Drosophila melanogaster: one gene and its partners. The protein of the gene in region 3 purifies or fractionates together with the protein of the main gene of each other region. This does not show direct contact. Each region holds a gene or a part of one and is shown on either strand. Other genes may lie near its edges. The genes, in order: drl, scb, Ilp8 and Lgr3.

Region 1 (6,265 bases), on a different chromosome or scaffold from region 3:
TCATGAAACCCTGCACAATACCAGCATGATGCTGCTCTCGCCACAGCAGCGCCTTTCACCTTATCGCACGGACATCTGGACTCGCTTATGGGACCTTCTCAACGAGTCAGCCAAGCAGGAGCAGCCTAGATTCAGTGCTGAGCAGGTGACGGAGAAGTTGATCTTTAGTTTGGCCTGCTACCAGCCGGAGGCTCTGTCCAGATGCACCACGCCACTTTCGCCAGACACGGGCACCGGTGGATTTGGTGACTATAGTAGCGGAAGTGCTTTTCCATTCAGCAACGAAGTGCTGCCCTTTATCGAACTGGAGGGATGCACAGCCAGCAAGCAGGAGCACGTCATTTCTGTGGTGAGTTGCTGCGTAATCTTGAGGTAACATTTTTATTAAAGCTACGAAATTTACAGTATCTGCGCGAGCTGAGCGTTCACCTGGTGAAGCACACGTCAAAGCCCAACACTGGCTTCCGCTGGCTGAAGGAGACCTTTTTCGAGCGCTCCCAGGCTCCAGCTCATGTGCATGCGGTGGCCTCCCAGTTCGTTTCCGCGCAGCTTGAACTCTCGCGGGCTCTTTGCTCTCTGGTTTGTCGTGCTGCAGGCCTAGATGCGCGCATGGAGACCTCGAGGGGTTTTCAGTTGATGTGAGTTGGTGATGATTTCAAATGTGATCACTTTTCACTCACGTCTGTAATGATTGCAGTGACCAAATGGCTGCCAATCAACAGCACTCTCTGTTTCTAATCCTCGAGCGCTATTGCCTGGCTGTGGAATCGATTGCGTTTCCCCTGCCCGAGGGTTTCTCCTCGTTCTTCACCTACTTGGGCTATCGTGCGCTGGGCTATGATATGTTTCTGCAGTATGTGGAAAATCATGTGTTCGAACTGCAAGTGGATGTGATGAAGGCCATTGTTTTCGGTTTGTAACAAATATATATACTTGTTTTCATATACTGTTCATTTCATTATTGCTTAATGTATTCCTTCAGATATTGAAGATTCTCCACTGGGCATTGAGCGGAAGCTATCACTTTTGTCTGCTCTGCCCAAGCAGCGTGCTCAAAGGTTACTCAAATGCTGGCAGCATCCGGACAGCCTTATGATCCGCGGACGCGAGCATGCGGCCAACATTCTGTCGGGTCAGCAGCAGGAGGTGTTGCACCAGCAGCGACCCACGGCCTGCGTGAATCAATCGCGAAATAATGCGCGGAGCGGTAAGATCTTGCTTGGTTAGCCCGCCATAAACACGTTAACTTTTCATTTGTACACTCTTCACCCGAACACATCTCGTCCAGCTTTGGGCAAGCCCAACACTGTTGTTTGTCACTCGCTGCTTTTGGTTTTTCTGCTTTTCATTCTAACCACGGTCGTCCTGAGCATATCGAGCTATGCGTTCAGGCAGCGCCCTCTCATCTGGTAGAAAACATTCCCATCGCTGACCGGTAAGAAACGCTGTTCAGTGTTCGCCAGTCGTTGTCCCATTTGCACATTTTGTTTCTTGTTATCTAACTTAACCATAGCCACCTCTCTAATGACCAATTTGGTTGGTATTCTTGCAGATCTAACTGCCGAAGCCCTTTCGCCACTGGACTCCTTTCTGGACCTGCTGACTGCGAAGGCCAGTCTAAACGAATTGGACTACAATCTGCTTATTGAAACTACTCTAAGCTCCATCGATCAGCTGAAACTGGAGGCTTGAATTTAATGTTAAGAGTAACTAATGAAGTATTGTGTCAAATTATCAAGTACTTAGCCAAGGCCAGTTTGCAAATATTCCAAAGATTTGATTTGTCAAATGTATTAGTTAAGATTCTTCTCGTGCAGCTTTGATTTTTGTTAGGGTTCTTCTGTGTGCTTTTAGTATTAATTTTCTGTTCCTATTATTTGTGTAACGACTGATACACATTCCAAGTCTGTAATTATAAATTATTTATGTTGTTAATTGATGTACCTAAAATCATGTACGTATTTATATATTCTGTACTTATTTATTTTATGCTTCTGCAAGCTTCTGTCTCTCTTTCTGTAATAAACTAACGATTTATAAAGTATAAAATGTCGTAATGTTTATTTTTGGCAACATGAGTTTAATTCGAAATTGAATCAAACACAATAAAAAAAAGTTAAAAGGTTAAAATCATTATATTACATCATTAATTCGAATTCATTTGGGAAGTTTGTGGGTCTATTTTTTAAACTTTATATGAATGTTTGTTTAGTTAATTTAATAAAGGATATCGAACAGTATGCCAGTTTTGGTATTTAGCCAATTGGAGATGTTCGATGAGATGTTCGAACTGCAACCGAGTTCGAGGTTCCAACACGACTGTTATACGGGTTCCAGCCTTCAAGTTCTACAGAACAAGTCCACGAGCGCCACACACAGTCCACAGTCCACACTCCACTCCGCTCGGCGTGGAAGCCATTCGCTTCGTGGCGAAGTGTTTGTTTATCCAGTTGACAGTTTGTGGAAAATCGTCACGGTGAGCGGATCAAACGCGGAAAACGAACGCGGACGAACGGCGAGAAAAGCGAGGAAAAACGGGTGCAGAGACAGAGACTGATTGGGAAATATGTGCGCCTGAGTTTTCCCGGCCAGAAGGCAAAGTGCCAAATGCTCTGACAAATAATTCCTGTAATAATCAGCGCGATTGAAATCAACGCGACGCTCGTAAAATTGCAAATGCAGCGCAAAAAGTGAACAGCAGTGCAGCGGAAATTAAATCGTTTTAGCGAGTGCCAAACGGGAAATAGAAAATCGGCAGAGTAGCCGAACTGCAGTTAAAACTATCTCTTCCTCTTATTGCGACTAAACAACCGGCGGATTAATCGAATCCGAAAGATGGCCCCCAACTTGCTAACAATCGGATTACTTTTGACCCTGATCGCCAGCGGTCAGGCCCATCTCAATATTTTCCTCAACTTGCACGAGGTGCTGCGCCTAATCGGTAAGTAATCGTGTTGATTTTCGCCTGCCTTTTGGCTTTTCAATTAACTGGGCAATTATTTGCCACTTTGTGTGCGTTCGTTCGACTTTAAATCAAATTTGATTTATGCCAAGCCGGGATTTTGTCTCCTGGGCAAACGAATGCGACTTGCTGGGATTATTTACTCTTTTTGCGTAAATAATATATGCCTTTTAATTGTTTCTAGCCTCGGAGCTACATATAAAGTAGTATTGTCCCTCCTTCAATTGGCCAGCTCACCGAGAAACAAGAAAACATTCTATTTGTCTAGCATGATTTCCTGTTTCTTTGATTTAATTGTTCGTTAGACTTATCTAGATAAATAGAAATGCTAAAGCGATTTAAATTTGTATTTCTTTGCGTTAAATTAAATTCGATTGGCAAGTGGATTCATCTCTAGATAAGTAATCCCTCTATAATCAAAGTTTTTATTTAAAAAATCATATTTTTTCATAGTTTATCCAATTTAAAACAATACAAAACAATTTTAGATATATTTTATAAACGTCTTCAAAAGAAAATAAATAGTAAAATCATGTAGTCAAAAAATGACACCAAAATGAGTATTTAAATATTTAGTTTAGTTTAGTTTATATTATTTATTTAGCCTAACTATTTTCCATAGAAGAATACTACTCTAATAAGCTTAAAAATCCGAGTGACTGATTCTTAGCCCTTATCAAAACAGATTTGTTTATCTCCATCTAATAACCAGGTTTCCACTTGGCCAAGCAAATCGGCTTGGGATAGCTCGAGTCCGCAGCCCAAGTACCTTTAATCTACTTTTATATTTATACCTCGCCCCGATCCCCATCCCCAACCTCGTCTTCTTGGACCCAAGCCATTCCCCGCCAGAAAGAAACACACACAAATCCTGTCGAAGAGATTGCCAAGCTAATAAAAGTGGGGAAAATTGTTTTACAATGTGTCACAGGGCCCAGACAAAGAATTTACAACCCAGTGAATATAAAAAATAAATCAGTAGCCTCAATCCATGGGCCAAAAGGAAAGGGTGAAGCGGCCCAAGTTGTGCCACATCCATGTGGCATCATAAAACACATGCAAAGTGTTTGTTTTGTAGGCAGTGTGTTCTGTGGATCGGGGGCGCAGGGAGCTGTATAGCTGATAGGGAAAAATTATCAAAAATTATGTTGTAAAATTTACAACACTCGCGTGTTTGTGCCTCCGGCTGATTGATGGGCGTCAGGAGTTTCGGAGTGCGGAGTGCGGAGTATGTAGGTACGCAGATTGCATCGCGTCACTTGTGAATAACTGGGTAAATATTTGAACTGCAGTGCCGGGCTGCTAATCAGGCGCTTATCTAGCCGCTTATCAGCGTCTGCCACTCGTCGTAATTCATGTTTGATTGCAGTTCTGGCCCCCGAGTCCTGGCTGCTCCACTACACACCTCGCAATCAGTTGAAAGCGCCAGCAGACAATCAATCAAAGGCGATACGGCAAGTGGGTGGGATGGTTTGCTATGGGATGGATGGCCAGTTGAGGCTTTCCACTTGACATGGCAGCGGAAAATTTATTAGTTGTGTCAGCCGAGTGTCAAACGAAATCAGCATTAAAACCCATTAAGCGGTGGCCGCTATTCATTTTTCGCCCGATTCCCGACTCCTCCAATTGCACTTTCCCCAGAGGGTTTTTGGTTTTTGGTTTTGGGCTTTCGGGATTGGGTGGCGATACCCTCTCCAATTATTCAGCGCTGACAGCGGGTTGCATGCCTGACCTACTTTCCGAGACTTCACTGTGTGTGTGTTCGCAACGCCTGGCTAGGTGTCACTCTATTTTATTTTATTTCACTTTATTTTTTTAGCGGTCGCTTCAAAAGCCTTTGTGTGAGTGCACATCAATTAAATTGTCAACCCAGGAGCAGAGTGAAGGAGAATCGCCCAAAGAAGAGCTCCATGCACTTGCATGCAGCTGCGGCATGGCATTCACTGTTCGTTAGGCTAACATCCATACCCGAACACATACCCATAGCACACATGTTCCATCCCATGGCCCACCCACTTCTCCATCCAGAAGTGCGCCCCAAATTGCTGTGCTCTATGCTATGCAAACCATGTCAGGTGTGGATCAAGCCGGGCGGCGGTGGCGAGGGTCTTCTTGGTTCGGTGGCTCTGTGGCCCAGCTCGTTAGCGAAATGAGCGGATATGTAAAGTCGGTGCAGTTGATGGATTTTGCGGTTGCAATGAGTGACCAAAGTTGTCGGCGTTGGGTGTGGATAGTCAAGGGTAACACGTTATCTAAAGGGAACTACCATTATTCCATCTTAGGACACTGATCTCCCAGGCTTTGTGGCACCCCACTGTTAATGGCAAGGAAAGCAATTAAATTCATATAGCCAGAACCTATAACATCCTATAACATTCGGAAAACTTTTCCCCCGCCACACACTTGGCTCAATGGGGCTTTTAACTTTGCCCAACTTTGTAGCCCTGCCAGCTGTCTGAGCAGATCCCTCCCTAATCCATGTAACCCATGGATGTTGCCAGTCACGTTTCGGGTCTGTCTATCAACACTTGCTAATCTCAACCCCATCCCAACTCTCTAAATGGTTTGACACTTTCAACTGGCGCGGGTCGAAGGATTCATCATCTCGAAATGAACATGATTTGCCGGCGAACAATGGCGATTGTTGCCAACTCACGTTTGGCTAATAAAAGCAAGAGCATTTGCCCCCAAACGCAACATATTTCGGCAAGTAATGTGAACTCAATTAGGGCGCAGCAGCATCATCGCCATCATCTGCATCCCAGGATTTGGCCCAGAAGTTGTAGTGAAATCTCTGGCGTGCGTGGCCAAAAATATTTCACCCTCGGAATAATTAATGCTGCAGTTGGAAGCGAAGGCATTAGATCTGCCCGAGCGTGCGGCATGTGTTGCCAACTTGCCACGCCAACACAAACAAGCGGTTGCCCCTGCCACCTGTCTCCTGTCTACACGGCGAAAAACATTTACTCAGTACATCAATTACACTTGTACTTACTTATTATGTTTGTGATTTAAAATCACTCTTGAGTGCAACGAGTACACAATGATACTTTTATCTAGAGAGTTTTTGATACTCTTTTGCTACTTTTGGAATTTTCGCTGCGTGTAGCGATCCATTCAGTTGCCAGGTTGTTATGTCTGGCTTCATGCAGAGTTAAACGCGTAATTGGCAAATGAACAACGCGGACAGAGACAGGCGGCAGAAATGTCGATGCAACAGTGACAAGGACGACGACATCAGATGCTGCAGCAACAGCAACATCAATCGATGCAACAGCAGCAACTGCAGCAACTTCTGTGCCA
Region 2 (6,569 bases), on a different chromosome or scaffold from region 3:
TGAATTATGTGGGCGTCGTCTGCCACTCAATCGGCCTCCGATATTTAGGCCAGCAGATCAATTACGGACTGGTATTTTTATGACACCTATTCAACCTGTCGCCGGCGCTCGAAATTTTGAAAGGGTTGGCTGGTCATTAGTTTTACGACTGTCTCTTATAATAATTTCTGCGCTTCTCTCGAAGGATCTATTTCCATAGCCACTAATGTGCAATAAGTTCATTCTCTGCCTCTGCCTGGAAATAATATTTTTACTGAGCTCAAACAAACCCCTCTACCATTATATATGTATATAAATTGGTGACGTCATAGGAAGGTGAACACCTGCATTGATTCACGGACGTGTTTAGTTTTTTTTTACACTTCCTTTTGACATTTATGCCTGCCCAGAAAGTCCAAATAAGGCGCCGCTTTGCGCCTCAAGCTCACGTCGACGATTCGATAAATATCCATTAGCACTTAGAGAAAAACTGGACATTTTACCACTTAAGAAATCGACATATAATATAATAGGTGCAATACAGAATTTTTAGAATAACAAAAACTCAAATTATGACTAGCTATACTTTGAGTATGAACCAACACTTTTTTTTTAGTGCAGTTTGCACCGGCACCGCTGTTGTTGCTGACTTGTGACTCCGATTCAACCATTATATACACAACTCGCTGATAAGTGTCCGCCGCTAACAATAGTCACAAACTTCCGCCAAGTGTAACGACAGATTGCAACTGGGAGTTCTATACGGATCCATTTCAAGGGCAGCTCCCCCATTTGATGCACATCGTAGCTCCGGAACATTTCAATTTGCACCCTGTTTCGTGCTTTTGTTGCCGCTACTGGTTGCATCTGGAGACTGGGATGTGCGCCAGAAATAGCTGCCCCCGATAGCGGAGGATGGGGGGTCATGAACTTCAATTATGTGCCTGGCAGTGTGGCGTGGCACCTCCCCCTTCTGCAGTTGCGGCCGTGTTGCTGCTGCTGTTGCAGCAATCGCTGTTGTTGCTGCTGGCGTGCAGTAACACATAATTGCTGTCAAATCGCCTGGCGGGCGCTTAATTGCGCATTTCAATAGCGGCCTGGTCCAAAAAAACACTTGCTATGCGGCGTTGGAAAACCGAATTAGCCGCCCTTTTGAACTTCTTTTGTTTACCCGAATGAATCGCTGGCAAACATTCAACTTTCGAACTTTTAAAGAGAATTTTATTTATGAATCGTATTGGGAGCATTCGACTTGTGAATTGAGTTTTATGGCGCGTAATCGGCTGTTGTAGTTTCGCTTATCGGTGGAAACGACTTGCCAGACCTCAGACCCCACTTTTGTTTTATTAGTTTTTATTGTTTTACATTGACTTGATAAACGGCGGGCTCAGGCTGCGTTGAAAATGAAAATCAATTACTGGGCGCACAAACAGCCAGCGATCTAAGCGCGGTTTTCCAACTTATCAGCTTGAGGCAACCGATAGCTGGAGGAAAAGTCAACTAGAGTACACCCCTGTCGATCTAATTGAACCCCTGAACCACTGAACCCCCCGTGCTGGGCACAATTTCATGTCACCGGATCGTAAAGTTAATAAATTGTGGTCACCACCACCCAACCTACCCCAATGATAAACGTTGAACGGATAAGGCAGCACGAGGGGCATATACTACTTTATACTTACAATAAATATTTGCCCTGGGGCCCGCTGATAAGCCATTTGATCACCATGCCACGGCAGCCAAGTTCAATGACAGCAGTACGCCGTTCAATTCGGGTGGCCATTTGCCTGGGAATCGTGATCGGCATCCTTTATGTCCGCCATATGCTCTCCGTTTCCACTGGCACTCATCCACATCCCGAAAAGGAATCACTCGGAGAAAATATTTTAAAATACGAATGTAGATTATTTAAAAGTAGAACTAAATAAAGAATAAACATTACTTATCTTTTAAGTATAATACATAAGAAATAAATTAGGAATAAGTGCAATAACTACGAACTAACAAGTACATTTCCATAAAAACAATTTCCTTTCTCTCAGTGTGCAGATCTTGATGAGCCTTAAAACATTGTAAATATTAATTATAACCAAATCTACCAGATGATGAGGAACAAATAAGCTGGCCTGTTTCCATATATATAAAGTCGGGATTCCTTCAATGAGTATTAATAAGAAAATACGGCTCCCAGTTGGAACTCCATGGTGACAGGCGTTTGCTTTTTTACCCACTTACTTGTACTCTCGCACTTGGGTGTGCGTTTATTTGTGTGTGTGCGTTCGTTTGTGTGTGTGCGAGGGTGCAGCAAACGCGTAGGGGGAGTGTAAATGCAAGTAGCGTGCGAACAAGGAGAGCCACCACCACAAATGGTCGCAATCGAATTGAGAATGCACTGACAAAAACCGGTACTAGATATACCATAGTATTGTTAAACAAAATCAAGTGTAGGTATAAAATATAAAGCACTAATAGACTATATATAGATAGTTCTTATAACAATATATTAGATACTAAAAAAATATATTTGAAAACCTTAAAGTTTTATTGTTATTATCAATGATCATCAGAAATCTCAGCGCAACCATGTTTGTAAACACACACTACAGCAGGTCAGAACATCTCTTTCGACCATCGTGTTGGGTGGACACATCGGCCAGCAGAATCGACGGTCGTCCAAGTCTGCTGCAGCACTTGAATTCATTTCATTTCGGTTCGGGTCGTCGAAGAGTGAAAACGTCCAGCACTGATCTGTTGCCCCGTTTATGGACTAGCGTTGCGGAAATAAAACACCATATATGCTATAGGCTATATGCTATATGCTATTTATTAGCTATTAGCTACACATCAGTGCAGAGATACGGCGCGGTCGAGTAGTGCGATTAACAACGACTTGTCGCCGGCAAAAGTGACAAGAGCCAAAACAAGTTTGCCACCTAGATCTCGCGAGAGATTTGCGAAAGCCGCCGGCTGGGCTTAATTAAATTAATATAATTTCGAGAGAACGCCGCCGCCATACAGCAGCGATCTCGAGTGTGTGAGTGCTTCAATTAAATTCAATAAATCATAAATAAGTGAGTGCCAACGGATCCTGTTTCAGTGGTGTGGCTCTCTGGCGCAATTGTGATTTATTGCCCTCAGAAGAGCCGGGGTCCATTCAAGTGAAATTACCAAAATTACGAAATTACGAATGCGAAAACTTAATTTTGATGAGTTCCAATGAATGCTGAATCGACAATGTTCCCTCACATATTCCTCGCCCTCTTGGCTCTGATCTCTCACATCGAAGCATTCAATTTTATGCCGCGACCCAGTCGGGTGATAAACTCCCCGAAGCATCTGAAGTTCCACATAAACCAGACTCGCAGCTCCTACTTTGGATACACGCTTGTCATCCGCCAGACCAGGTGAGTTACCTATTTTCCAGCTGTAGATCGCGGCAAATATTTGCATACATACGTGTAAGGGTCTGGAGGGAGATTCTTCCATACTTCGAAAACATACTTATTTCGATAACCGATCAACATATTTCTTATGTTTGACGCAAGACAAGCGAGTGCTTTCAGTTGCAAGCCAACACACCTCTGTCAATATTTTGAAACTTCTGGCATACGGAAATGGAAACTGAAGCTTGCGAAAGGGGATCGACAGAAGTCGAGGCTCGACAAAATTAGTATCGGCTTGGGTGGTTTATTGGCACTTAACACTCGGTCGCTCTATTTGCCAAGAAATTAAAATGTCATTTTCGCCAAGTCGTAAATGGGTGCTCAGCATAGGTTGTTCGAGTTTTGGGACAGAACTCTCATGGCATGTCGAAAACCCCAGCTTGAAAACCTCTCGAAAGCAATACCACTTCAGACCGAATTTTCTAAAAATAACAAAAAAAAAAAGAAACTGTCTACTTCAACTACAATTGCCACAGATCCGAGAGATCGCAACTCCGTCTCGAACAATTGACAAACCCGAACAATTTTCAGTGAGTCGGGCGACCTACATATCATATGGCGGCTACTTTTGTTGGTTTGCGGGCCCCAAAAAATGACATCACACACCTCAGTCGGCGCCACAAATCACAGTTAATTGAATAAGAAGAAAGTGGTCAGATCGAAGCTCAGATACGCTTTTTAAGATATTCTCGAGATATCTACTCTGTATTCTCTCTTAAACGAAAAAGAGAGATGATAGTTCATGCTTTGTAATTTATGTTAGAGTAGTTGAGGTTATGTATTTGCCAAAATTCAGGCCACAGCTTAGATACAAGAACTACTTGGTCAGTACAACCTTATCTGGTTTTAATTGAGGCGATCAGTAAACCTGGTTTGAATGCAGTACTCGTACGCGATCATAACGAGCTAGCTTTTGACCATATTTTATTTCCATAAACCTGGATGGGTAATTTGGAACTTCCTCTACAGTTCCCGCTCTTCCCCCCCCCCCTACATTTTTTTGTATTACCAGCACTTTGGATCCCAAAATACCCATGACTCTTGGCTATTACGAAGTGCGCCTAATTATGTACGGAAATTGCGCGTAAAATCACGACAAGCCGTAATTTATATCACATCAATTGAAGTTAGCTGAAACAAACAAAAAGTGTAGTTCTTGTTTACGGTCTCCCAATGAAATTAGGGCTGAATTCGAATCCAATGCGGGGGAAGTGCATCCACTCACAGTTTCCCAACACCACTTGCATTCTGGCGAAATGAGTCACAAATGTTTCCAATCCGATTTGGAGGCGATGGCGTCTGCAGACCTGCCCCCATCCGCATCCCCGCCCTCCGAAGAGTTCGTCCGTTCAGCTGACACCACACACAAATATTTTTAGCCGTCTTACGCTGGGTCATTAAACCGAATTCCTTATAACAAAAACAAAAAAAAAACACTGAAGACTCCACAACGGAAAACGGTGCAGCATGGTGGCTTTTGTTCTTAACATTTGATGACCGCACGCTGCAGCGGTTCTTTGTTTTTGTTTGGCTGATGGAGATGGCGCTGGAGATTTGTGTGGTCCGCAAGATGTTTTATTGTCCGCGCACAAAAACGGATAAACGTTCCTTGTTCGGCATTTAAACAAAGCGCCATCGCACCAAAAGCGTACTTTTACAAACGAAATTATACTATTTAAAAGAAATTTCACATTTCAATTATGTTAGCATGCTGTTGTATGCCATACAACTATTTTTTAGAAGACAATTTGCAAAGATATATAAAGTTGCAATATATTTTAAAATACTTTAAGTTAGTTTATTTTTTTAATAACTAATAGGTTATAATTGTAAGGTGACTGTTTTGTGAAACAGATGGTGAAAAAAATATAGTTCTTCAAAAAGTCATTCAAATCTTCCTAAAATAAATTAAGTTAACAGTTGTAATACAATTTATTAAGTTTCTGTTTAATTTCTGCTCACACTGAATTGACCACCGCTGTAGTTATGCACAAAGGCCATGGAAAAAGTTGGGGCTTGGGGGCAGATGCGTGTGCAGACATGGTTTACTTGGCCATGACTCATGTTTTGGGAAAATACGTAAGCGACAACCCATACTTTGTATTACAGCTGAGATACGCCGAACGTTCAGTCCAAAACAAATGTTGGCTGACTGTTTTTAGGCCTCACACCACTTTATATTCAGCATAAACAATTTCTGGATCAGGTAGCCAAAGTGGCATGTGCTTGTTATTCGCCTATTTAAATATGTTGACTCTTTTTTTGAGACTGTCGTTTTTTTTTTCTCGCATGCAATTAAGCTCCAACCATTTGACTCGCGCCGAGATGCGGATAAAGTTACGCCTGAAATCAGGCCGGGAAATAAGTGCATGCATGGTGACTCATCCGACTGACTAAGCCACCGACTCGAACGGGGGAAAACTTGTATAGATAAGTAAATCAAAAAGTCAATCGAGGTGAAACTAAGGCTAGAGAATTATGAAATGTATTATGTATTCGTATTTTGCCAATAACAAAGGTGTCATCCATAGTTTACTTTTACTGACTGTTTTAACAAAGAAATCAATACATTTTTTGAACTGTCTAATCTCAAATTGAACCTCATATCCTGTGAAGTGGGTTTGAAATGAGTCAGTCAATGCAGCTGATTAAAAACGATTGTTTGCTTCACATTATATGTGCAATCTTACTGGCGTTTTCATAAAAAAATGCAGTAAGTTAGTTTCCTTGGTTTGAATTATTATTCGAAGTTTCGATAAAAAATGAAATCAGTTAAATTTAAAAAGTGCAAAGGTTGCAGTGTTAGAGCTGGAAAAATAAATTCTTTTACAGTTAAGACTTATCTTACATTTTCCGCTCCATCTTGTCCTATTAGTCAGCTTTTGCTGCTTAAGAAAACAAACAATTTTATAAAAAGCGCAAATATGGTATGGCAATCGTTTTGAAGATGTTATTCACGCCACTCCCACGAGAGCCCCAACGGTACCGCGAGTAAGCCTGGTCAAAACAGAGCGGCGCTCTCTCGCACCTTTTGAGATAGCAAATGTCGAGGAATGAGCATAACCGTAACCCGTTTTCTCTCTCGCTATCACCGCCGAGCGGTGAGGTCTCTGGGGAGTAGTGCGCTTGGTTAGTAGCTAACAGACC
Region 3 (6,212 bases):
AACACATCTCGGGCATCAAAACAAAAACACTAGCTCACACGCTCTGCCAGCGGTCCTGCCAGTGTCCCTTGTCCATCCGCCCATGGTCCGATGCGATCTTCCCAGAAGACGGAGCGACATTCCCAGCTCTTTTCTTGTTGCCAAGGAAAGGACCCACCAGATATGTGTACCAATGCTCGTCTAGACTGCACGAATATCAGATCGTCGATGGACCGGCGATTCTATTAGAAGCAGAACCTGTTTGCGGTTCATACTCCGTTGGGTTCTGTTGTATTTCGGCTGTTTTTTTTTTCTTTTCTTTCTGCCCAATTTTTTTTGTTTTTTTTTTCTTTGATAATGAGTCGTGAATTTGATGCCCAGGTAGGGGCATTCGACGGAGATCGTTGACATGGCGCAAGTGGCGCGATTCTTTAGATCAGGTTGTGAAATTGTATTTATGAATGAGAGTGCCCGTGGCGAACCAATTAATGCCGCATACCAGCAAGAGTTCCACCGAACCACAACGGCCAGCGCACACATTCCGAACCCAAGTCGGTGTTCCCAGAACGTGCCCGTTACCGTTATGCGTTGCCGATCGGATCGACGAGCGCGAGAATGCACATTCCGAAGGATACGTGCGAAATGCGGGAGAAAATGCAACTGCGCAGCAGCATTGCGCATACGCCACGAGGGCCGGCTAACATTTCCGCATGCGGGAATGCAACGAAAGCGAAAAGCAAGTGGCAAAAAAAAAGAAAACAGCATAACCAAAACGAATGTGGAAACGAAACCGAAACCAAATCCGAACCGAATCGGAATCGGAATCAGAAACGTAACAATCTGAACCCATAAAAAGTCGGCCGAAAGTGTGCATTGACCGAGAGAGCGGCTAAAAATATCCGAAAAAGAACGTAACACAAACGATCTGATAAAATAAGAACGCACGATGATGACGCCCGATCCAGAACAACCGTTAAGTGCTCCACCCCAAATGATGCTGCAACAGGGTGAGCGAAAGAGAGGGCGAGCCCGATACCGAAAGAGACAGAGGCAGAGCCGAACAGAAACGACAGTGAAAGTTCTACACTTTCGCTTTTTCACAGAACCCTGCTATCATACGAAAAGCAGCAATCGTAGAGATAGAAACCTTTGGAAATACAATACATAGTACATCAGCAAATGTGCGGTAACTTTATATATTATTTCTATATAAATCTGAATGTTTAACAACAATTTCGCTGGCCTTCCATTTTTTATTCACAACATAATACAATTTTTTTTTTTTAATGAATTCATTTTTTTAGACTTTGAACGAAATGCCCCCTATATGAACATTAAACTTTACTGTTTATTGGTTTCTGCAACCAGTTTTTTAAGAATGTTATGTTATCATTTAATTTCAGGTTGAATAAAACACCATGAGGTCCATTGGAATATTATTCAATGCAAAAATTTCTTAAGCTTTCAAATGTCTTAGCTTTCCATTGCTCAACGAACCTGTCATTCTAGACTCTTTACTTATAGTAAACAGTAGTACTTTGCCACTGAAAAAGATGGTAAAGGCATTTGGATCATTTTTTAGCATGCTAAATGATGAGTGAGTCTGGTACAAAGTATGATTTAACAAATGATTACCGCATTAAAGCTAATCACTGTTGTTTTTCTCGACTTTCAATGGGAAACGCCAGTCAACAATTTCAATTTTACAGTTCTTCAAATTCTACACACAATATTTGAATGGTTTTATGGGTCTGTTCAACTTGTTTATGGATCCACATAAATAAGCAATCATATTAGAGAAGCATGCACGGCTATCAAGAAGTGCGTTGCCCTGGTTGGAAAAGCCCCGGCAACAAGGTCCAAGTTTTCACTTTCACTGCCACCATCGGCCGTCAAATCACCAGTAGCTATTACTACCTTATTACATTGCCAAGGTGCGCTGATAAGAGTGTTTTTAGACTGTTCCAGCTAACAGTATTCGCCTCGGCTTTATCAAGAGCAGCAGCAAGTCCAGCAGCATGTGACTGTGACTCAGTGAGTCCGCCGAGTCCATTTATGTTGAAATTCGTTTAAGATCGAAACGGCGGCGCCATGAAACTATAAATGCCAACTCTTCTGGTCTGACGTCCGTTCCGAGGCCCATTGATAAAAAAAAATGTATATTTCTGAATGCTCGGCGCGCCCTGCCGCTTACGCAAAACTCCTGCGAGCGGATCCCGATCCCCAAAAAGCCGAGACCGAACCCCATAACCCATACCCCATACTCCATACCCGAAACCGAAACCGAAGAATTACAAATCCCGAAATCTGCTCTCTCTCTCTCTCTCTCTCTCACCCCCATCGCCCATTCCCATTGAAAAGTGAAGAGCGGCTGTCTGAGCGGCAAACTGAGCCGATCCGAAGCGCCGATCCTCGATTTTTGAGGCGCGTATAAAAGCTTGGCTACGTCGGCAACGAAAGCTCATTGTGCGCTCGCCGCTCGTGATTATCAGGTAACGTCGATCGGACGGACGGGTTAACCATTCAGCAAGTTAGCTCTGCAGCAAGTTTGCCCGCCAAAAGAAAACACGTATACGTAGTGTTGCAGCCAGAAAGGTGATCGACGTGCCTACTGATCTATTGATCTATTGAGAATTGTGATCCTAGAACGCCACTAAAATGAGTTCAAAGGTGAGTTCGAGTTGAAGTTAAACTCTTATTTTTGTTTTTTAACTATTACACTAGCATAACTAATTCGTGTAGCTCTTTAGCATTATAGTTGGTTAGTTGCTCAGCACCAAAGCATTAAACATCAAACATTCAGTTCTCAGAATGATTTCATACACCAAATTATGCATTCCTTGAAATCATTGTACTGAACTTAAACATTTCCAGTACAAGGTGGACTTTTCCAAATTGAGTCCAGAAATTTTCCAAACAAATAACTGTCTTCTAAGAACACTCCACTTTAATTACTTAAATTAGCTTCGCGCCACAAAAAAAGTGGGTGTGTGCAATTAACAGGCTGTCAGCTAAAAATATCAATATCCAATATAAACAAATGCGCTTTTGTTCTCCGCGGGCAAGAGCATAATGCCCGCATCGATTCCGAATCGGATTCATATGGCGGACTGGAGTGCTAAACAGACTGGAGTGTCACCGCAAGGTGCGATATACGAAATGCGAAATGCAAAATGCGGAAATGCCTACCTGCGGGGCGCATTACATAATTTCCACTTCAGCTCCAGATCGCCGTAATGTCGGGGAAGTTTCGGTCATTAAAAGCGGCAATTAAAATTCACCATTTGGCCGCGTCGACTTGCAAATGCGCTCCAGTTTATGTTTCGATCTTGATGCGATATTGACCCAGTTAATGGGCGGCATACTCCGGTGCGTGGGAGTCGGCGACGTCATCCAGACATCCCGGCATCCCGACACCCGGCTGTCGTCATCCGAAGTGGTTAATCCAGATGTGTCCAGAGCGGCGATCCAGATTCACATTGAAATGCCAAAGCAGGGCAGAGTGCAGCCGGTTAGAGGATCGTTGTAACACTTATGCGATAAATTCTGAACGTCAGCGATTTATAATTAGGAGCCGGAGGCCGGTTGGGTGTTTAATTTGGAATATACTCATACTCACTTGTTGTTTCGCCCGCTCCTCCATTGCAGTTGCATATGTGCCGCTGGATGCTGCTGGTCATCGGAGTCTGTTGCCTGATGGGCAGCTCGTCGGGCAGCTTCTGCTCCCTGGAGCGGATGAAGAAGTTCGCGATGGAGGCGTGCGAGCACCTCTTTCAGGCGGACGAGGGTGCCCGCCGCGACAGAAGGTCCATCGAGTTCGCGCACCACCATCTGAATCGACTTGGATGTAAGTATCTAGATCTAGATCTTAGATTTTAGAGCATAGTGTGGCACTAGGAAAAAAAATGTTTAAAAATATTTCGGATAAATTTAAAGATCAAATTATTATAATGCTTCGTTATGACTTTACCATTTTTAAATTTTGTTTCCAACTATAATACTTACGTTTTAAAATCTCAATTAAACAATATCCACTGAACATCGATAAGGAAAAGATTAAAATATTGGATTAGCGAGCTAATAAGGTCAGAGTGTCAGTCAACCCGACAATTGCATTCGGAACTGCATATCGAAAACACGTTTTTTTTTAAGTGTGTAGATTGCAATTAATACGGCATTTGCATAAAGCAGTTCCGATGCAAAAGTTAACCGACTTCAAGGCGCAGGTTCAAGATCAATTTGCTCACTGGCAACGTTTTCCCCCTTTTCAGCCGGCAAAACGCACAACAAGCATCACTACATCAGCCGAAGCAGCTATCCAATGGGTGGCTACCTGAAGGTGACCCGGGAGCACTTCAATCGCCTCAGCGAACTGGACATCTTTCCGCGCTACAAGCCCATCAAGCCGCACCACGAAAAGAAGCATCGCTTCAAGAGGGATCACTCGAGCAGGTCCTACAACAACATTCCCTACTGCTGTCTAAACCAGTGCGAGGAGGAGTTCTTCTGCTAAGAGAGCTCCAGTGTCATGCTCCATGCCCCACGCTCCAAGTCGGTGCCATCTGGTCAGAATCTTCTGAATCCGTCCATAGTTATAGTTAGGCTATTCATGTACATTCTACAAGTCGCGCTCACTCTTATAGAGTACCTTATTTGTGCCCACTCCCAGGGACACAGATCCATTTACAGTATTTATACACTTAGATCGATTTTGAATAAACAATCGAATACGGCAACTGATCGGAATTAAAGTGTTTTTTATAAAAATTGGTGGACAGTTAAAACTAAACAAACATTCAGAGAATTTAACAGCATATTAGGTTTAGAAGACGCATATAAAGGCTTAAAAGATTATTACAATCCTAGTACAAATGAGTCACGATGGCTAACAAATCTTTGTTGTATCACAATCTATTAATCACTAAATCACTTAATAAACCGACAGCTCGAACCATGGAATCAGCTTATATGGAACTAATATAGTAGGCGCCTTTGCAAACGTTGCATTTGTACTTGCGGCAGTTTTGTTCGCCAACTGGCTCCAGTGATCGAAAGTACTTGGATACCACCATCAAAATATCCTCACGTTGTCTCTGAAGGAAATCTTCGCCGAAGTCATCAAAGGTTTTAACGCAATGCATTAGAATGCGATAGAGGACCGCTTCAGTTGATACGAACGTATTCAGCGAGCGATCAATGTAATCCACGTTCTCCTCTACGAATGTGCGGGTCATCTGCATTAGAAGCTGTACAGCCTGATCGCTGAAGTATCTGGCCATGGCCTCCAAAACGTCCGTAAAGCTAGCCAGATTGCCGATATGCTCAACGAATTTTCCGCCGAACTTCTGTGCGAGCATGTCCATATTGATCACCATCTGCCCGCCAATGCCGTAACTCAGTATTTGGGGCAATAAAGTGGTGGCCACTGTAAGTCCCTGACTTAGGTGTGAGTTCATATTGTGAAGACTGAGGAGTACCTCCTTAAAAGGGATTTCGTTGAGGGTTCTCACAATATCAAATTGACCAGATTCATTGTGCAGCTTAACTGTTTCCTGGGAGATTCGATCAAAGATTTTTCTGTTGATACAAAAATGATGAAGAATACTATATATGTGACTGCCAGGAGGTATTGACTTGCCTGGATTGATTTCGAAGTGCTCGCCTCAAGGAAGACCCGTTGGTAGCCTTGGAAGCGATGCGCATATTGTTGATGGAATGAGTGAATATCACAAGGTGCGAGGCCATCTTCAGCATGTCCAAGCTGTTTATGGCTTGGTCATCTCCATGTTTCTGAGGAGGTCGAAACGAAGTTATAAAATTAATGTCTTTTTTAAAGGATCCAACTTACCGAATATAAATCGTAAACACCATTCGCTACACCCGTTCCGGCGATGACCATTGAGGCACCATTTATCCCCCTAACGGCTAACTGCGCAGCGGGATTAACTTTGTAGCCAGCTCCTGCAGCGGTGGACAGAGCTTTTGTGGCCCCACTGGCTCCTAGACCCACAACGCCACCTGCTACGCCCAACCAAGAGCTGCGTGCCTCGGTATCCGTGATGCAGGTGGACTGTCCGTGCCGTCGACGATCGATAAGATGGGAGGCAGAGCGCAGGGTGCTGTAGACTCCGGTGGCCACGCCCACAGCGGTGGCGGCAATCGCGAGCGGAGCGCCCAGAGGCACAGCCAAAGCTGCAGCCGCCGGAACACTGGCCACCAAGCTACCAACAGTG
Region 4 (6,118 bases), on a different chromosome or scaffold from region 3:
GTGACGATATCTAATGGATTTATATATATAATGTATCAATTTTTCGAGTGCAATTGAGGCGCATTCACTCACCACAAGTCATGTTTAAAGTTAGGCTCTGATTCCTTGGCACCATCGACGTCGTTGAATCCGCACCGCTCGCATTTGAAACGGCGGAGATTAGGCGCTGTTGCTTCTTTTCAATCGCATTACGGACAATCTTGTCGGCAATCTCCTTGCTGCCGTAGAGGAGACCGCACTCCACCGGATTCTCGTCGCTGCTGTCGGCGCAATCGTTCCGACTGTCGCACATCTGGCGCCTTGGAACGCACAGCGTGCCGTTGTCGCAGGCGAAGCTGGCCGCGGGGCAGGGTCCTGGGAAAAGGACGATCCCAAATTAATTATCACTCAAGGACAGCGGAGCATATTGCATGTGAGTTCAACTAGTTTCTCAACAGCATTTTGGGGGAAATCAAAACAAAATCTAGTGATGATTTTAACCAAAATATATATTTCCTAGAGCTGTTAGCCATCAAGCAAACATTTGTGTCTTTGAAACATTTTAATATCTTTTGTTTGTACCTTTTATAATTTCCTAGCCCACACTGCGTATGAGTAATTACTTTAATCTCTGACAAGAAAACTTTAAGCTACAATTGACAACTTAATTGTCATAACCTCCACCCAAAAACTTATATCAGTTTATTGTTAGCATTTTTGTCAACACATGGCAATTAAACTTAATGTGCAAAGTTGACATTGATTTTTGAGAGGTTTGCTTTGTTAGCAATATGCTTTTTCGAGCGTTTAAATCAAGTACATGGACATCGAAATGATTGGCTTAAATAAATTAATGTGCTATTGCAGCTAATTTCACTTCAAAAGTTGAGCTAAGTTTTAACAATTGAATTTTCTTACTCTTGGCCTTAATTTATACCGAGACTTTTTCTGCCTGAATGCCTACAACTTTTTTTTTTGGGTAATTGTCGTAAAACGAAATGACATTCTTGTTTTGCATTTTATCATTTTTACGATTTGTTTGGGTACCATGCGTTGAGAGTCCTTCCGAAAATTGAGCAATTCAAATTACTAGATTATGGAACATAGTTCGTTAGACAAATGAGCAAATAAAACTGGAAGTGGAGCACCTTGAGGAGCTTTTAATCCGATTGCACGGATTGCGTCAGAAACATGTTCTTTGGGTTGCTGGCTCATTTATCTCATAATAACTTTACCCTTTTGCACGATTGCCATGGCACTGTGTAAATAAAGATATTTCAATGTGAATGCTTTTAATTAGACATAAGCTATAGTGCATTCGATTTGATATCTGCATTTAAAGTGAATTGAAATTAATCTTTCATTCGTTAAGCTTTAAGCCAAAATGCATTTCGTTCAAGATAATAGCCATATGATTCACATCAAGCTGCACAAATTTATTTCCTCATATCCTTTTTCACATACATACATACATATTTGTATGTGTAACTTCATTAGGAAGCACTGATTCACACACAAAAGCATTGTGCATTAGGCGAGACTTTCAATTTCATTGTGTCCATGACAAGGCCACATGTTCACACACAAATCCTGGCTCTTTCCTCTTTAAACTTCCTGCTCCGTGGCTGATTTAAACCTAAGCCAGGACAAATTGTATCTGGCAGATAAATAATTTGTCGTGATGCATGTACTCGGAATCCGAGGCGACAAAAGGGCATAAATCAAACATGTTTCGCCCATATTCCATAGATGTGGCATGGCAAATCAATACGCAAATTGGCATAAAAAATATAGCTGTGCGAATTTCTCGATATTGATACTCGTAAAACAAGATAAAAGCCTCGAACGAGGAAGCAAAACATTCAGGACCAAAGGCCCAGAAATATATATTTATACCCATACTTCCATGGATCCATCGATGGATGTGCGAAAATTGTTTTGCGCTCAAGACAAAGTTTGCGCCGTACTCGTATTTATTTTTTTATGGTCAGCCGTTTGTTGTTTTTTGCGCCCCGTTTTTTGTTTCTTGTTGCCTTATTTTTATCGTATTATACAACAAATTACTTTCAAATACTTTTGAGTATAAAATTTATGGCCATTTTGCAGTTTGGAATTTGATTTTGGTTTTTGCTTCAAGCGAAGGAACCCTTTAAGGATACGAAAGTATATATAGAAATTTACAGCAGCTCAAGTTTTAAAAGAACTTTAAGTAGTTTCACAAATTATGCGTATAATAATTGCTAAGATTTTGAACATTCTTGATTCAGAAATTATTTAGGTTTGCGAATGATGGAATTTTGAAAGGACATCACTCTAAGGACTCACCCAAACTCAAGTAGAATATCACGGCGGCCAGCAGAAGGACGACGGTCATCAGACAGAAGCCTACGGCGATGCTCCTGCCGTAGACCATGGCGATTTATCGGTTTGCTCCTGTTTTGCACGCTCGCTTATCTAATTACTTGGCCACCATGGCTGCACTGGCTCCTTGACCGAGTTCATCATTAGGAGCACTCAATTCCCACTCCGGCCACGCCCCCACAAACAACAGCAATAAGAAGAACAACAGCAGCAGGAGCTGATGCGGTGCTGACTCATTGAGTTTTTATATTATTATTTCTTATACCGCTCCGTCTTCTTGTTTTATTTTTGCGTTAATTTCTTGTCACTTCATTTGGCTAATGTTCACAGCTCGCGGAGAAGAGTTTTAAGTGCCAGGATTACACAGCTGATGAAGCGGAAGGAGGATTGGGAGCTGGAGCGGGAGTTCAAAATTAATATTTCGGATGGCAAGTGCTTTCCACTTGGTGGGGTTTCGATTTCAGCGCTGGATAAAATTGATTTGGTGTCCATAAAAAATATATGCATAAAGCGCCATTTTGACAGACGTCGGGCTTAAGTTTCACAGACGGCTTAAAGTTATTGGGGATATAAATTTATTAAAAGTATTATTTCACGCGTCTGAAAGCTGCTATAATAACTAAAATTTGTGATGCAAGAAAAAACCAAGATATAAGTTAAAAGGAAGTCATAAAGATTGGCTATACTTGTTCGCCCCGCTGAGTCTAGCAAATCGAAATGAATAATTTTAGTTGGCTCCAGTCGGAATGGTTCTATTTTTAAGCAGCCACTTGGTTCCCCAATTTATGCAAGACATTAAGCCAAACTCAAGGTTATAGGTTTGCCAAATGTACTACGAAATGGAAGTGCAATATGTGACCGGCATTAGAGGGTCCTTTTCCGAAGCATTTCTTGTCCGGCTGATTAAATTTAGCTTAATTGAGTCGGCGGCAAGGGGGGGGGGGGGTTACATCGCCCAGCGGGGGGGCTCAAGGTCAGCCGGAGACAAATCATAATTTCCGCAAAAGGTCACATTGTCTCGGCGATGCATGATCCCCAAAACAGAGAAACTGGGACTCTCATTATCGCAATCATCGCAATTGAACATCATTTGGTGTGGAAGAGGGCCATAAAAACGGAGCGCTCCTTCGTCCTTTTTGCTGGCGGGCCACTTTAACGCTCTCCCTCGACCACTTTGTCGATTGTGTCAATGCGATAGGATGCCCCCAAAAACGGACCATTCAAATGTATGCTCCTTTGCCTCTTTATTTCCTACGGGCCACTTTCACTGACCCGTTCACTGGGCGACACTTTTTGAAAATTGAAAGTAGCGCGCGCTTCGCCAGGAAGTCTGAGTCGCGAGCGAAGGATATCGACAAGGACAAAAGGACCAAACGCGTTCGAGCACAGCGGCCAACTGAAGCTGGTGGCAGCATGTGTTGCTGATTTTGTTTTTCCCTCCGCACAAGAAAAGCGGCCGAGCAGCTAGCTTCGTGTGGCACAGGACTTCGGGCTGACCGTTGATTTCATTTGCGGAAAATTCGTGGTGTTTCAAAAGACCAAAACCAAATGTAAATACAGACAGTTCGTTTCGAGAAAATCATAAAAATGTATTTATTAGCTAATTAGATGTAATGCAATTACAATTTGTTCTAAATCGTTTTTAGTTTAAATGTAATAGTAATATATAATATTCGATAAATTGCATTTCCGTTGGTGTTTTGTAGTTCACTATCATCATCAGTTTGTGTAAATATTAAATATTGCTAATTAAAAACATAATACATCAAAGCGACTTGTGGGTTGTCTTTTAATTGTACGCTAGCAATTATGTATGTACTAATGCTTGATACCTTTGCAATTGTTAATGCTTCGGTCTTTTGTTTCGATATCCGGTGGCTAAGGCTAAGCACTTTAAAAGTTAAACTTTTCAACAAAGCATTGCTAATTTGTTTTTTTAAAGCTGCGCTAATTGCTAAGTACAATAAGTTTTGTGTAATTCGAATTGTGAATTCTACAATGAATAATTCTGTAGGAGACAAATCACTAAGGGCACTACTTATTCGTTAGAAAGGCGTTTTTAAATTACGATACTCTCGAATTATTGCAACAATTAAAATTCATTGTCAAGTTAACAACTAATGGCGAATTGTAGAGATTGGAAAGGGTTTTTGTTAACACGTAGACTAGCAGCAAAAATTAACCAAAAGTATAGCACACAAAATTAAGATTAGGGCATGTGAATATGGGACTCATTAACTACTATTAAATACAAAGTACAGTGCGGAATGTAGAGTAATAAAACGATTGTGATTTCAAATTTGTAACATATATCATTGCATTGAGAGATCCATAGAGTGTGATTGGAATGTAAACATACTAAAACAACAATCAAGCACGTTAATTATTGTAAATATTTTTAGAATATTGTTTAAAATTGTGATATTCATAAGGAATCCATTTCGTTTCAACTCCATTATGCATTCAAGATATGTTGATCAATTTGTTCCCAAAAACATTATTTTGTTGGAGGAGAAATACGTTTAGAAAAATAGTTCTGGGTATGTGTGACTTAAACCCACACACCATGAGGATTTTTACTGGTTGGAACCGCCGTTTCAAGTTGCCTGGGCGAACCGATGATCCGCCGGCTGCTGCCCTGCTTGTTGGGTCCTTCCAATAGATGCTTGATCTCCTCCGTGGTGGTCACAGTCAGGCTCTGCAAATTCACCTCCTTCATCTCGTTGACCAGCTGCTCCACCTGCCGCTTCTTGTCCGCGATGGCATGCTCGATCATGAGTAGTTCCTTCTTTAAACTATCTGCAGTTTTGTTTGAAGTGTCAGTGTTGTGCAGAGCCTGGTCGATTTCACTCTGAATGCGCTCCATTTCCATCAAGAAGTCTCGCTCCACAGTTTGCCTGAAACAACCAAGAAGTGTGAAAAACTTAAAACAAAGCAAGTAAATTGCTATGCACTCACCTATTGGTCTGCTGTTGATGTTGCTGCTCCAGCTCAATGTCATCCATCAGCAAGCGCATTTTGTTCTTGCATTGTAGCAGCTCTGTTTCGCAATTGGCCAGCTTGGATCGCAGTAGAGCTATTTCTGATTTCAAAGTCTTCTCTTGCTGCTTGACCAATTCGTTTTCCTCTTCCACATACTGCAGAGTCTGGAGCTGTTCGCTTCCTTGCCGAAAGATTTGATCCGCCTTGGAAATCTCACGCGAAATAGCATCCAACTCGTGGGCGTGGTCGCGTTCTTTGCTCTCCAAATAAACTATTTCCGTATCGAACTAAGCAGATAAAACAAAAATAAAATAATAACATTCCAAATCAATTTAGAAACTTGAATATTTGTACCTTTTGCAATTCCATTTGCTGGGCTGTGATCTTCTCCCGCTGAAACTTGATGAGCTGCAGCAAATCGTTATACTGCGTGGTCTGGAACATGGGCTCACCCTCCTCCATGGCCTGGCTATTATTGTTGATGCTATTAGTGTTGTGGCTGCTATGCTGATCGTAGTCGCTGAGAAACGGATTCGTCGAGGAGGAGGCATTGGACATGGTGTCCGCATTGCTGCTGGCCAAACGCTGCCCCTGGCACATGGGGCTGTTTCTCGGGGGTGGCGGGTCACGATATGGTGGTGGGACTAGAGCTCCATTCGCGGAAATCGTCGGCGTTTGCTTGTACAGCTCCGGTGAGTTGTTATTGTTATTAACAATATTGTTATTATTGTTGTAGTACATTTCGTTGGGACTGGAGCGTCGGAGTTCATTGCTGGATTTGCTCAGCTGGCTGTAT

Evidence for each region.
Region 1: the proteins of Ilp8 (region 3) and drl purify together in Drosophila melanogaster (affinity purification with mass spectrometry, with the first as the bait; one study listed by BioGRID). This does not show direct contact.
Region 2: the proteins of Ilp8 (region 3) and scb purify together in Drosophila melanogaster (affinity purification with mass spectrometry, with the first as the bait; one study listed by BioGRID). This does not show direct contact.
Region 4: the proteins of Ilp8 (region 3) and Lgr3 purify together in Drosophila melanogaster (affinity purification with western blotting, with the first as the bait; one study listed by BioGRID). This does not show direct contact.

What each region holds. Positions count from the first base shown.
Region 1 is NT_033779.5:19,187,894-19,194,158, forward strand, and holds the start of drl (derailed), read left to right. Parts: upstream 1-2,448; 5' UTR 2,449-2,835; coding exon 2,836-2,941; intron 2,942-6,265. Other genes in the region: pigeon, read left to right, coding at 1-349, 406-638, 698-912, 983-1,207, 1,553-1,692. UniProt on the Drosophila melanogaster protein: Probable coreceptor of Wnt proteins. Involved in neuronal pathway recognition and ventral muscle attachment site selection. Non-vital for development. May be part of a signal transduction cascade involved in learning and possibly memory.
Region 2 is NT_033778.4:15,246,101-15,252,669, forward strand, and holds the start of scb (scab), read left to right. Parts: upstream 1-2,683; 5' UTR 2,684-3,195; coding exon 3,196-3,383; intron 3,384-6,549; exon of another isoform or gene 6,550-6,569. UniProt on the Drosophila melanogaster protein: Integrin alpha-PS3/beta-PS is a receptor for laminin. Also binds to wb. Important during embryogenesis for the development of the trachea, dorsal vessel and salivary gland, as well as for dorsal closure. Required for short-term memory processes.
Region 3 is NT_037436.4:17,028,323-17,034,534, reverse strand, and holds Ilp8 (Insulin-like peptide 8), read left to right. Parts: upstream 1-2,454; 5' UTR 2,455-2,637; coding exon 2,638-2,649; intron 2,650-3,627; coding exon 3,628-3,826; intron 3,827-4,250; coding exon 4,251-4,492; 3' UTR 4,493-4,723; downstream 4,724-6,212. Other genes in the region: CG7730 (uncharacterized protein), read right to left, coding at 4,944-5,556, 5,618-5,769, 5,828-6,212.
Region 4 is NT_033777.3:25,663,429-25,669,546, reverse strand, and holds the start of Lgr3 (Leucine-rich repeat-containing G protein-coupled receptor 3), read right to left. Parts: upstream 3,739-6,118; 5' UTR 3,558-3,738; intron 2,735-3,557; 5' UTR 2,393-2,734; coding exon 2,305-2,392; intron 355-2,304; coding exon 73-354; intron 11-72; coding exon 1-10. Other genes in the region: RASSF8 (Ras association domain family member 8), read right to left, coding at 4,892-5,237, 5,299-5,609, 5,677-6,118.